Linked DNA regions of Drosophila melanogaster. The protein of the gene in region 2 purifies or fractionates together with the protein of the main gene of each other region. This does not show direct contact. Each region holds a gene or a part of one and is shown on either strand. Other genes may lie near its edges. The genes, in order: CG33981 and Ets98B.

Region 1 (5,000 bases), on a different chromosome or scaffold from region 2:
ACGTTGGGCTTGAAGCTCATAATGCGGGCGCAAACGTTTCGAAGGTATTCCTTTTCCTGGAGCAGCACGGTCTCAATGGTCACAAACTTTCCCTCAATACGCTCGTACACAATGGGACACTGCAGCAGCAGTATGCGAGGAAAGGGCACATGAGTTGCCATATCTTTATGGGCGACATTTTTAGAGAATGCCACTCCATGAACAATCTTCGAGTCCTTGCGTCTGCCACCCGGCACCTTTTTAAAGTTTACATAGTTACGTATGTCCATGAGATCGTTACTACAATGCTCTGGCTTGAAGTGATTCGCTGCCGTGGAACAAAGCATCTGAAGCACCTTGTCCCATTCCTGGTCCAAATTATGTGCGCGCAACATCTGTGCCAGTAGCTGCTCTTCGTGTTCGCAATAGGAGGCAAGAAGCTTAGAAGTTGCTGTGGTATAGCATCGATCGTTTTCCAGTTCATTTTCTAGCTCCTTCTCCTTTTCTTCAGCTGATTGATCCATTGACTTTGGAGGTTGTGGTTCCGCATGGGGATTCGCCTCAAATTGCGGACTCATCGTTCGGGAGGTATCCGAACTGCTGCTTTTGGAGAACTTATAGTGTAGCGACGAATCGAAGTCCATTTGCTCGGGATCGGGTACGATTGGCTCGAGGAAACCAGCGGCTAGCATAGCATTCAGTATGGCCACCGCCTGCACCTCGTTTGCTGATTTATTATTACTATTGAGAAACTCAATCAGACGCTGACCACAATTTTGAGCAGGCAGATCACGCTGCATTTCCTCGTGCAGGGTAATTAATGAATTTGACTGCTGCAGGATATTCTTGCGATCGTCGATGGAAAGGGTTGTGTAAGTTGGATGCGAACTGAATCGCTCCTCTTGATAGCCCACTGATGTCTTACGCGGAAGGGGTGCCCTTTGCATCTGGGGATGTTTTGCAAGCGAGCTGCCACTATCTTGTACTTCCAGTTTGTTACTTAAGTGCTGCTGCAGCTCCTGCATATCCTGTCCCATCTCAGAGCTTGAGGACTTCAGGAATGTGAGCACTATCTTGGAGCAGTAGTTGCACACTTTGAGATCGCCATCGCAGCGAATTATCATGCCAGGCACCACTTGGTTGCAGCACTTTGAGCAGAATATTTGGCCACACAATCGACAGTGGTGTTTCCTCCGGAAGGTGGAGAACTTTTGAGAGCAATCATAGCATTCCTTAGCCTTGGAATCGGGCATCCAAAAGCGCTGCAGCTCCGTGTCCTTGTAGTTTCGCAGATCCTGAAATGAAATGTAGGAATTTGTCTTATAAAGCTAAAAAAAATGAGTCAACAGAAATATTTTATTGTGGTAAAGTTCCAGTGAATCATTCAAATTTTTAAAACGATAATGGTATTATGACTTTCACTCACGTTATTGTTTTTTGTGGCCACAATATTGCTTATGTGTTTGAGGACGTTAGAAACGGTGCGCCCCTGATTCGCTTCGCTGGTTGGCAGCGGCAGCGTTTCGACGCGGTCGCTGGTTTCGGAGTCCTCTGCAGCGGTATTGCTGGAGGTGCTTGTGCCACGTGTCTCACTATTGGTCCTTATGCTGAGCGTGGTGGGTGGCTGGGGGCGAACTGAGCTCTGGCTAGAGGTTTCCACATCGGCAATCTCAGCGGTGGAAGTCTGGGAGTCACTGAAGAACTGTGATTTGCCCACCACTTGCACTGGCTGCGTGGAGGAACTGCTGCTGCTCCCACTTGATATATCGTTGACGGTATTGTAGCTCTGGTTGTATACATTCTGGATCTTGTTTACCACTCGGCCAAAGAGCGATTCCGGCTTGTCTTCGAAATTGCGGGCAAATTCGGTTAGTTTGGAGGGGGAGTGTAGGTGCTGGTGGCTTGAGCTATTGTTTTGGTTGTTGCTAGTCATGTTGTCGGGGTGTTAGGAGTTGGGCTTGTGGTGCTAATAGGTTGGTTGGCGAGGCGGTGGCACTCGCCCGTGGACTCACGGTCCTTGGTTAGATAGAGGTGATGTTCAGTTGATCGATGAGGGCTGCGTCCGGTGCCAGCGAGCCCAACGCCAGATCAGTCCACTTTTGCTCCTGTTCGAGTTCAGACCATAGAAGTATACAGATATGGCAATAAAATCCCAAATGTACTCACCTGCTCGCTGACCGTCAGGTGTGAATCACCGCCGTCCGCCTCTGGATCGGGTAGCTTTTCGCGTGGCACTAGAATCTGGTCGAAGGGTAGAACTTCCATGCGCCAAGCATTGTCTACAATGTCCAGCAGTAGATCATCGATCGGTGCCTGCGACAGGCAATAAAACACAGGTTATTATCTCGTTGAAAAAGAGAGAAAAGACAACGCCCCCGCAGCGTAATTACGTCACTCTGCGACAGTGCTTAAATATTGGAGACACGGTATTGCTCGCATATTTAGATTTAGCACAATGGGCGCATTGATAAGTACGACTAATTGCTGTGAAGCGATAATTTTGCCACACTCACAGGCGACGTAGTAGTAGTTACTATCTAACCACCGGACATCAACTAGCCGCAAGGGTACGTCCCGCTCGATTTGCCCACTTACCTGGCTGTCCATCACTTATGGAATAATTTAATCTGAGACTAGCCAGTCTTCACTTGCTTGCCAATTGTTTGCTTAGACTCTTTTTGAGTGTTTTTGTAAACAATTGGCGAATAATTCTGTTTTGTTTAACAAAACAGCTGTGTGGAGATGGGAGGTATGCGATTAATGGCGGCGATAGTAGTAATCGAAAGTGCCAATCGATGTGTACTCGATGTTCGCACTTTTTGAATTTGTTTGCTGTTTTATGCAAATAAATTGCTTAAACGACAACAAAATATGAAAACAACAAATATGTACTAACAGATACTTTATTTTTGGCAATTAGCTTAATGGTGAGATAATTGTATTTTCTGTGGTATGCTACTTATATAAGCAGCAATAATGAGTGCCTATGTTTATTTAAATTCAATTGTCCGTGGAATCGGGAAGACATATAAAAATGGTTCCATTTTTCCAAATTGTTATATTCCAAAATTTTTAGAAGAGTTTTCCCTCCTTTATTCCAGATCATGTCTGAAAAACAAGATTGCGTACGCCTCTACTTCGCAGCACATAATATTTATTCTTTTTATATCTCATAAATATTATATGGAGATAACTATTTCAAATTTAGAATCACATCTGCAAAAAACTAAAATGATTACTACAGTATAATTCGCTTAGCTGCATCGATAGTTAGCTGCATCGGCAAGATATCTGCATTATTTTTCCATTTTTTTGTGTGAATAGAAAATTTGTACGAAAATTCATACGTTTGCTGCATCGCAGATAACAGCCTTTTTAACTTAAGTGCATCATATCAGCTGTTTTTTTTTGCCAATTTCAATGAATATCATCAAAGTTAGCTGCGCCATCTATGAATCATTTTTGCATATCTAAAAGATGGCAAGAATGCCAACTCGTTTCAGTATCTGCGCATGTCCGTTTTTGTTTTTGCTTTGATCGTGATTTTTGTGTTTTTGTTTCTTATGACACAAAGTTATTAAAATGGGTAAAACAAAGCGTGTCGTTGGACTAACACTAAAGGAAAAGCTTCAAATAATCGAGTTAGTGACCAACAAAGTGGACAAAAAGGAAATTTGTGCCAAATTCAAATGCGACAGATCCACAGTCAACCGCATTTTACAAAAAACAAATGAAATTCATGAAGCTGTGGCCGCGTCAGGTTTAAAAAGAAAGCGTCAAAGAAAAGGAGACACCATTGCTGAAAAAGACAAACAATGCGTAGAAGTTGACATTGTATCGAATATTAATTGGAATGAATATGCCAATGTTGATGCAGATGAGGCTTGCCATGGTCAATTAGATGATGATGAAATCGTGCGCTCTTTAGTTCAAGATGCAAAAACCAGCGATAACGAAGAAAGCCATAGTGATGAAGATGTGGACGATACTGAGCGTCCTACTTTTAAGGATGGGTTTGCAGCAATTAAGGCTTTAAAGTCCATTTTTATGCGAAACAATAATGATGAGTTTTTGCAAAACTTGAATTCTATGGAAGACAAGCTGTTTAATTTACATATAAACTCAGCTGTATTGCAAAAAAAAATTACTGACTATTTTTAAGTTAGTTTTAAAAAGTGTTTTAATCAATTCACCATCACTTAAATTTATATGTCGATCTTACTTATCATTAAGAATGAAATTATCAGTTCCTTTTATGTTTAACATTGTTATAAAGAAATAAATTCTTTATTTTTCCTTAAAAAAAAAAAATTAAGTTAGCTGCATTTTTAAGTTACCTGCATCGAGGCATTGTGCAAAGTACTCGAGGCAGCTAAGCGAATTATACTGTATTAAAAGATATTTATTAAATAAAAATACTTCGTAAATTTACTGCTTTTGCTTATAACATTCGAAAAACGGTTTTTTAAAATGCAAAAACTGTTCCACATTTTGCGAATATTCCAATCGATAAATGTTTTAATATCCCTTCAGATATTTTATGATTATATATCTGCAAAAAAAAGAGATTACGATGGAGCTTAAAACTCCACTACTGTTCTGTTCGATCTCGCTGACTGTTCCATTGAACAACTGACTAGATGCAGCATAGCGCTCTTCAAAATCGCTTTTCAACGTCAGCTATGCCGACATCTTGCCAATTTACCAACGGAGTTGATATACGATCGATCCGACATGGACGAAACCCCAACCGTTTTGGTTCACAATTCACCGAAACATTCTCACTGGTCACAAATGCTCGTCTATTACTCGCTTGTTATCCAATGGCTTTTATCAATGAAAGGCTTGTTGTTTTGAAAAGCACTTAACAAGTTTTGTGTGCCTACATCGTACATATGTGTATACAGAATAATTCGCTTAGCTGCCTCGAGTACTTTGCACAATGCCTCGATGCAGGTAACTTAAAAATGCAGCTAACTTAATTTTTTTTTTTCTATTTTCTATTTTCTATTCACACAAAA
Region 2 (4,898 bases):
GGCCAATCCATCCAGCTGAGGCTGCCTGACGTGGATAATGCTGCCCCACCAGGAGCTGCCTCACCGTGGCTCTCGGCGGTTGCAGCTCACCATTAAGCACGCCGTTCCTTTGAGCCGGCTGTCCATCACGGAGCACCGCTGCCAGTGATGGGTGACCTGCCGCTCCGTACACAGGAATTAAAATCAGATACAAGAGCAGGGGGTGCTTTTAAAATAGTTCAAACTCTTTTCAGTCCATATTTTCTTTCATAGCTGATGTTAAAAGATAATAGCTAGCTAGGAACGCTTTGTTAAATATATATTTCTGCTGCATTAAGATTGCATTTCTTGAATGGTGTACTTTGTTTACAGGAGATTTTAAGTTCCATTTCCATTTATGGTCAAAGTGAATATATAAAAACATTTTCCGTGTAAGGAGCGGGAGTTTTCCAGAAGCCAAAGGCTGGTCGTTGTCCCCAGCTAAACGCGGAGGGGCCGGCATTTGGCATAATGATGGCCACCGGCGGGACTCGGGATGCCGTACTGAGCCGCCTCCTCCGCCGAGCAGCTGCGTCTGGTTTGCTGAGTGCCAATTGCTGTTGACATGCCTTTCATTTTAGGCGACAGCGCTTCCTGCTCAGCCAATTTAGCCCCGATGACCCACAATGGCGCATTTGTCAAGGTGGAATCATTTGGAGGGAGCCTGCAGGGGGGCGACATTAAATCCAGCACTCCTCGCTAATTTCTAACGTCCTTATTTTAATCCTTTCAGGCTGTGATTTGGACAAGAATAACATTTGTGGATCGAGTACAATCGCATGCTTAGCTTGTTAATCAAAACTCGAATGCCCTTTTATTTATTGCCGTAGTCTGAAAAAAACGCTATTATTATAAATCAAAAGATTCGTCATTTCATTATTTATTTCAATTTCTAATGTGTCGATAGCATACATTTTATGGGACTAAAACGAAATTTGCATTTAAATTAATTTGGCTTGGTAAAAAAATTTATTATGGTTAAAGGGTCCAAATGACAGGTTGAAATGAAAGTGATGCCAATTGTAAACAATTGCAAGCGATTTATTACATGTTTTGCTTTATGATTATTGATTATAAATAATTAATTGTGTAAGTAACTGATATGCATAGGTATATGAAAGTTGACTTTTGCAAAGGTACATGAACTGCAGGACTCTTTGAAAAAGGATTGAAGTTGGACTTCAGGCGACGTGGTCGTTCTTATGGGATGTCAAAAACTGTGAAATTGTCAATGGGCAATGAAATATAAATGCCAAATTAAATTGTATTTCGTCAGGACATTTCAGGAAATTTTCGTTGGCGACATCTTCGCGTCTTTTGCAACGGAAGCGGAAATTATAATGCCATCGACGTGCATCCAAACATTTTGACGTTTGTCTGAATGGCCCCAAAAACTCTTTTTAGGGGCGTGGCTGCGGGCCATTCAATCACGGTTGCAGTTGCAGTTGCCCCAGTTGCCTGCGTCACTTTATGCGAGCCAATAAATTTCAACTGGCTATCTAAGTATCTGGGTATGGGTATCTCGGTATCTGTACATTGATGGACCTTTGTTTGTCATCGATGTTGCGCTGATGGCTGAATGGCAAAGCTCTTGGCAAGAAAGAGGAGCTTAGCAACCAGTTTGGCGGCTCAAAAGCTCTGGGCATGAGGTAAGCAGAGCGATCGCAGCACGTACCGCTCACAGAATCGAGCGTGAAGACTTGGCGAACGGTCGACAAGCGGACCGAGCAATACATTCCAGTGCCAAACAGAGACAGCCAGAGAGACAGTGAAAGAGAAAGAGAGAGAGAGAGAGCAACAAGTTTGCCAGTGGAAATTTTAGTAACGAAATGCAGTGAATAGCCAGTGAATGCAACAAACTGGCTCAAAAGTCGAAAAAAAAAAAACAAAACAAACTCTCGAAAACAATTTAATAACCCCACTATGAACACCAAGGCCGAGGCAGTGAAACAAAACGCTGAGTGAATCTAGTTAAACATTTAAAATCAAAACCAAAACAGCAACAAGTGAAAGAGCCAGAAGGAGACGGCCACAGCGGTAGGCCGCGAGTGAGAACGAGACAGCGCACTGAATAGCAGCACCCGAGACTTTCGCATCTGACGATTCGAATTTTGCATGCCGAGAGATACAGCTACGCTAGAGCTGAAGCTGGAGCTACAGATACAGATACAGTAGCTAGAGCCTGTGAAAATATCTGCGAAATACCATAATTGTTTGTAGCGCAACTCAGAAATGGAGTACGAGAAAATGTTGTACATGCCAGCAGCCAGTGAGGTAAGACGCGATAATGTATCTCTGTATCCCTAGCTGCTTGAAAACATAGCTATAGCTATAGAACTACATACATAGCTGATAGCCGATAACCTTTCGCCCGCCATTATCATCGGGGGGCCACTTGTGTCGGAATATAGAGTATCTGTAGCTGTATCTGTCGCTTGGCAAATTATGCGCAGTTCGGTGGCAGTAAAGTTGCTTCTACGGCTTTTAATTAGCAGCGCATGGCATCTCGTGTAGGCGGCAAAAGTATCTTACGGTCTGCATCTTGCACTTGGCATCCCGCGAATGCGAATGCTGATGCGAATGCGTGTCACTGGGTGAGAGTAGCCCCAGTACCCAGTATACAGTACCCACTAAGTCAGCCAGTTACATTTTCGCATTTGTCTTTAATTACAATAACAGCAATAGCAATAGCAACAGCAATAGCAACAGCAACAGCAAAAGCGACAGCATCCAAAAGCAACTTTCAAAAGATGCTTTCATTTTGCAAGAAGTGATTCTAAATGATTGTCAACTATGGCACGACAACAAACAGTAGCACAAACGCCGAGTAAGAGCTGCCATGTCGGCCTGAACTGGCATTTCACTCGGAAAGTGCATTCCGATCCAGCAGATACTTTTTGTTGGACCTACTTAAGCTCCATTGGCTATGTACGCAAGTCTTTGACGTTTGTCGCTGCTGATGATGCTGCTGCCAGCATTGCAATAAAAGAAAATACGGAAAATGCCGTGGAAAAAAAAAACTTGTATTTACCATTTTTGATTGATTTGATGGAAATGTGTCTCCGCGCTTTTCCAATCGCTGACGCTGACACAGAAGCAAGTGGCTTGGAACAGCGCTTAGAAATGCACTGCAAGATTGCAAGATTGCCAGTCTGCCAGCAGCGGCAGCCACACTCATCTCTCATTATATTTATAGACATAATAAAATAAATACTACTGGCAACAATTATAAATGCAAGCCGCTTTCGCAGCTCAGCCACACTAAGCCGCGTCGAGACAAGACGAGTTGAGGAAAACTCGACATGACATAAATACTTCAACTTGTCAGGTTTTCTTTCCCTCAGCGCCAGGCCTTTCCATCGAGAATCCATCCATCGACAGTGGCATTTCTAAGTTCGCTCAGTCAAGGGCCATTTCCAAGCTATCCAATCCTATTCCATCCTGTCCAGAACGACTGGTTATCAATCAAACCGATTATACAATAATAATCACTTTTTGGGTGTGGCTCCCAACTTGGCCATTGTTGTGGCATATGCACTCAACGAAATTAGCTTTCCACGTTCCGAATGAAAATTCTATCAGCATTTCAGCTCTCTCATTTCACTCGTTTGTAACCGCGTCCTTTGAGACCCCGACAAATGGTAATTGTTCTTCTGCATTTTTGCATATTTTTTTTTTTGCAGTGTATTACTAAAATATTGCAGCCTGTGGTTGCGAGTCTTGTCTTGCGGCTTCAGCATTGAATCTCGCCTGGCTTTTATGCAAATTGAAATGAGTTGGCTTCGCAACGTCTTTTATACGGAATAATTGTCAGTGCGTGCAGCGCATAATGAGTGCAGAAGGGATTGGATTCGCAGGGTTTAGTGCCTAGACATAAGCGCATTCCTGCCCAGAATGTGGGTGTGGGATGGGCCAAGAGTCCAGTCTCCCAGCCTGCACTGGATGGCTCGTAAGTGCCACTTGTGCGGTGGGTGTGGGTGAGCCAGTGGGCGAGCGAGTGGGAGTGTGTCTGGATTGTCCATCAGAAGAGTGTCCAAGTAGTAATCGGGCGGGTTAATGTGCGGCATACTGAGAGGTAGAGATCTTCAGACCTGCCATCGAAGTGGGAGCTTTAATTAATTTGGTTAGCTGGTTAGTTGCTGGCTTTCCCAGGCCAGGGGACAAGACGACAAGCCGGAACATTCTGGGTCGTTACAGTTGTCAGACACTTGGCATATTAAGCAGGCTGCAAAGAATGCAGCATAATTGAAATGTTGCACCCATTTGAGATATTTATTAACCTTGCTGGCAGCCATTTATCTAGCATGAAATGTCGACAATTAAATGCAATGCAAATAGCGAAGAATGGCAAGCTGCAAGCAGAAAAGTTTTGCCCCGTCACGAAGTGGCTAAAACCAACACCAAACTGCAAACACTCACACAGACACGGTGACAAAAAGCTAGAGATACAGGGACAAAGATACAGAATAATGAGTGAAACAAACAGAAGGCAGCCAGTCGGGCGATGTAAAAATAAGCAGAAATAAGTCTTGTCTCTTTGACAGCTTAACCCACGCATCCGAGAACTGGTAGATGGTATATATGGTATATGGTAGATTGTACGTGGATGGATACCGCCGGGGGATTTGCCAGAGTATCTCTGTCTCTGTATCCATGTGTGTATGAGTGTGCCTATGCTGTGGACAGCGCACTTCAACATGGCCATAACCCCCTTGGCCCATCACCCATGGCTATATGCTATATGCTATATGGTATATCCGATCCCGAAGCGCGCGAATAAAGTGAACAATCATTAAACAAACAATTTGACTGAAGGAAAGGGTAGTGAGGAGTTCGGGGTCAGACTGACTTCGCTTGGCTCGGCTTGGCTTTTGCCAGCT

The links.
Region 1: the proteins of Ets98B (region 2) and CG33981 purify together in Drosophila melanogaster (affinity purification with mass spectrometry, with the first as the bait; one large-scale study listed by BioGRID). This does not show direct contact.

What each region holds. Positions count from the first base shown.
Region 1 is NT_033778.4:17,779,196-17,784,195, forward strand, and holds the start of CG33981 (uncharacterized protein), read right to left. Parts: upstream 2,736-5,000; 5' UTR 2,587-2,735; coding exon 2,575-2,586; intron 2,293-2,574; coding exon 2,146-2,292; intron 2,085-2,145; coding exon 2,001-2,084; coding exon of another isoform or gene 1,406-2,000; intron 1,275-1,405; coding exon of another isoform or gene 1-1,274. Other genes in the region: fab1 kinase, read right to left, coding at 1-1,274, 1,406-1,912.
Region 2 is NT_033777.3:27,734,842-27,739,739, forward strand, and holds the start of Ets98B (Ets at 98B), read left to right. Parts: upstream 1-1,696; 5' UTR 1,697-2,250; coding exon 2,251-2,292; intron 2,293-4,898. UniProt on the Drosophila melanogaster protein: May have a role in germline development.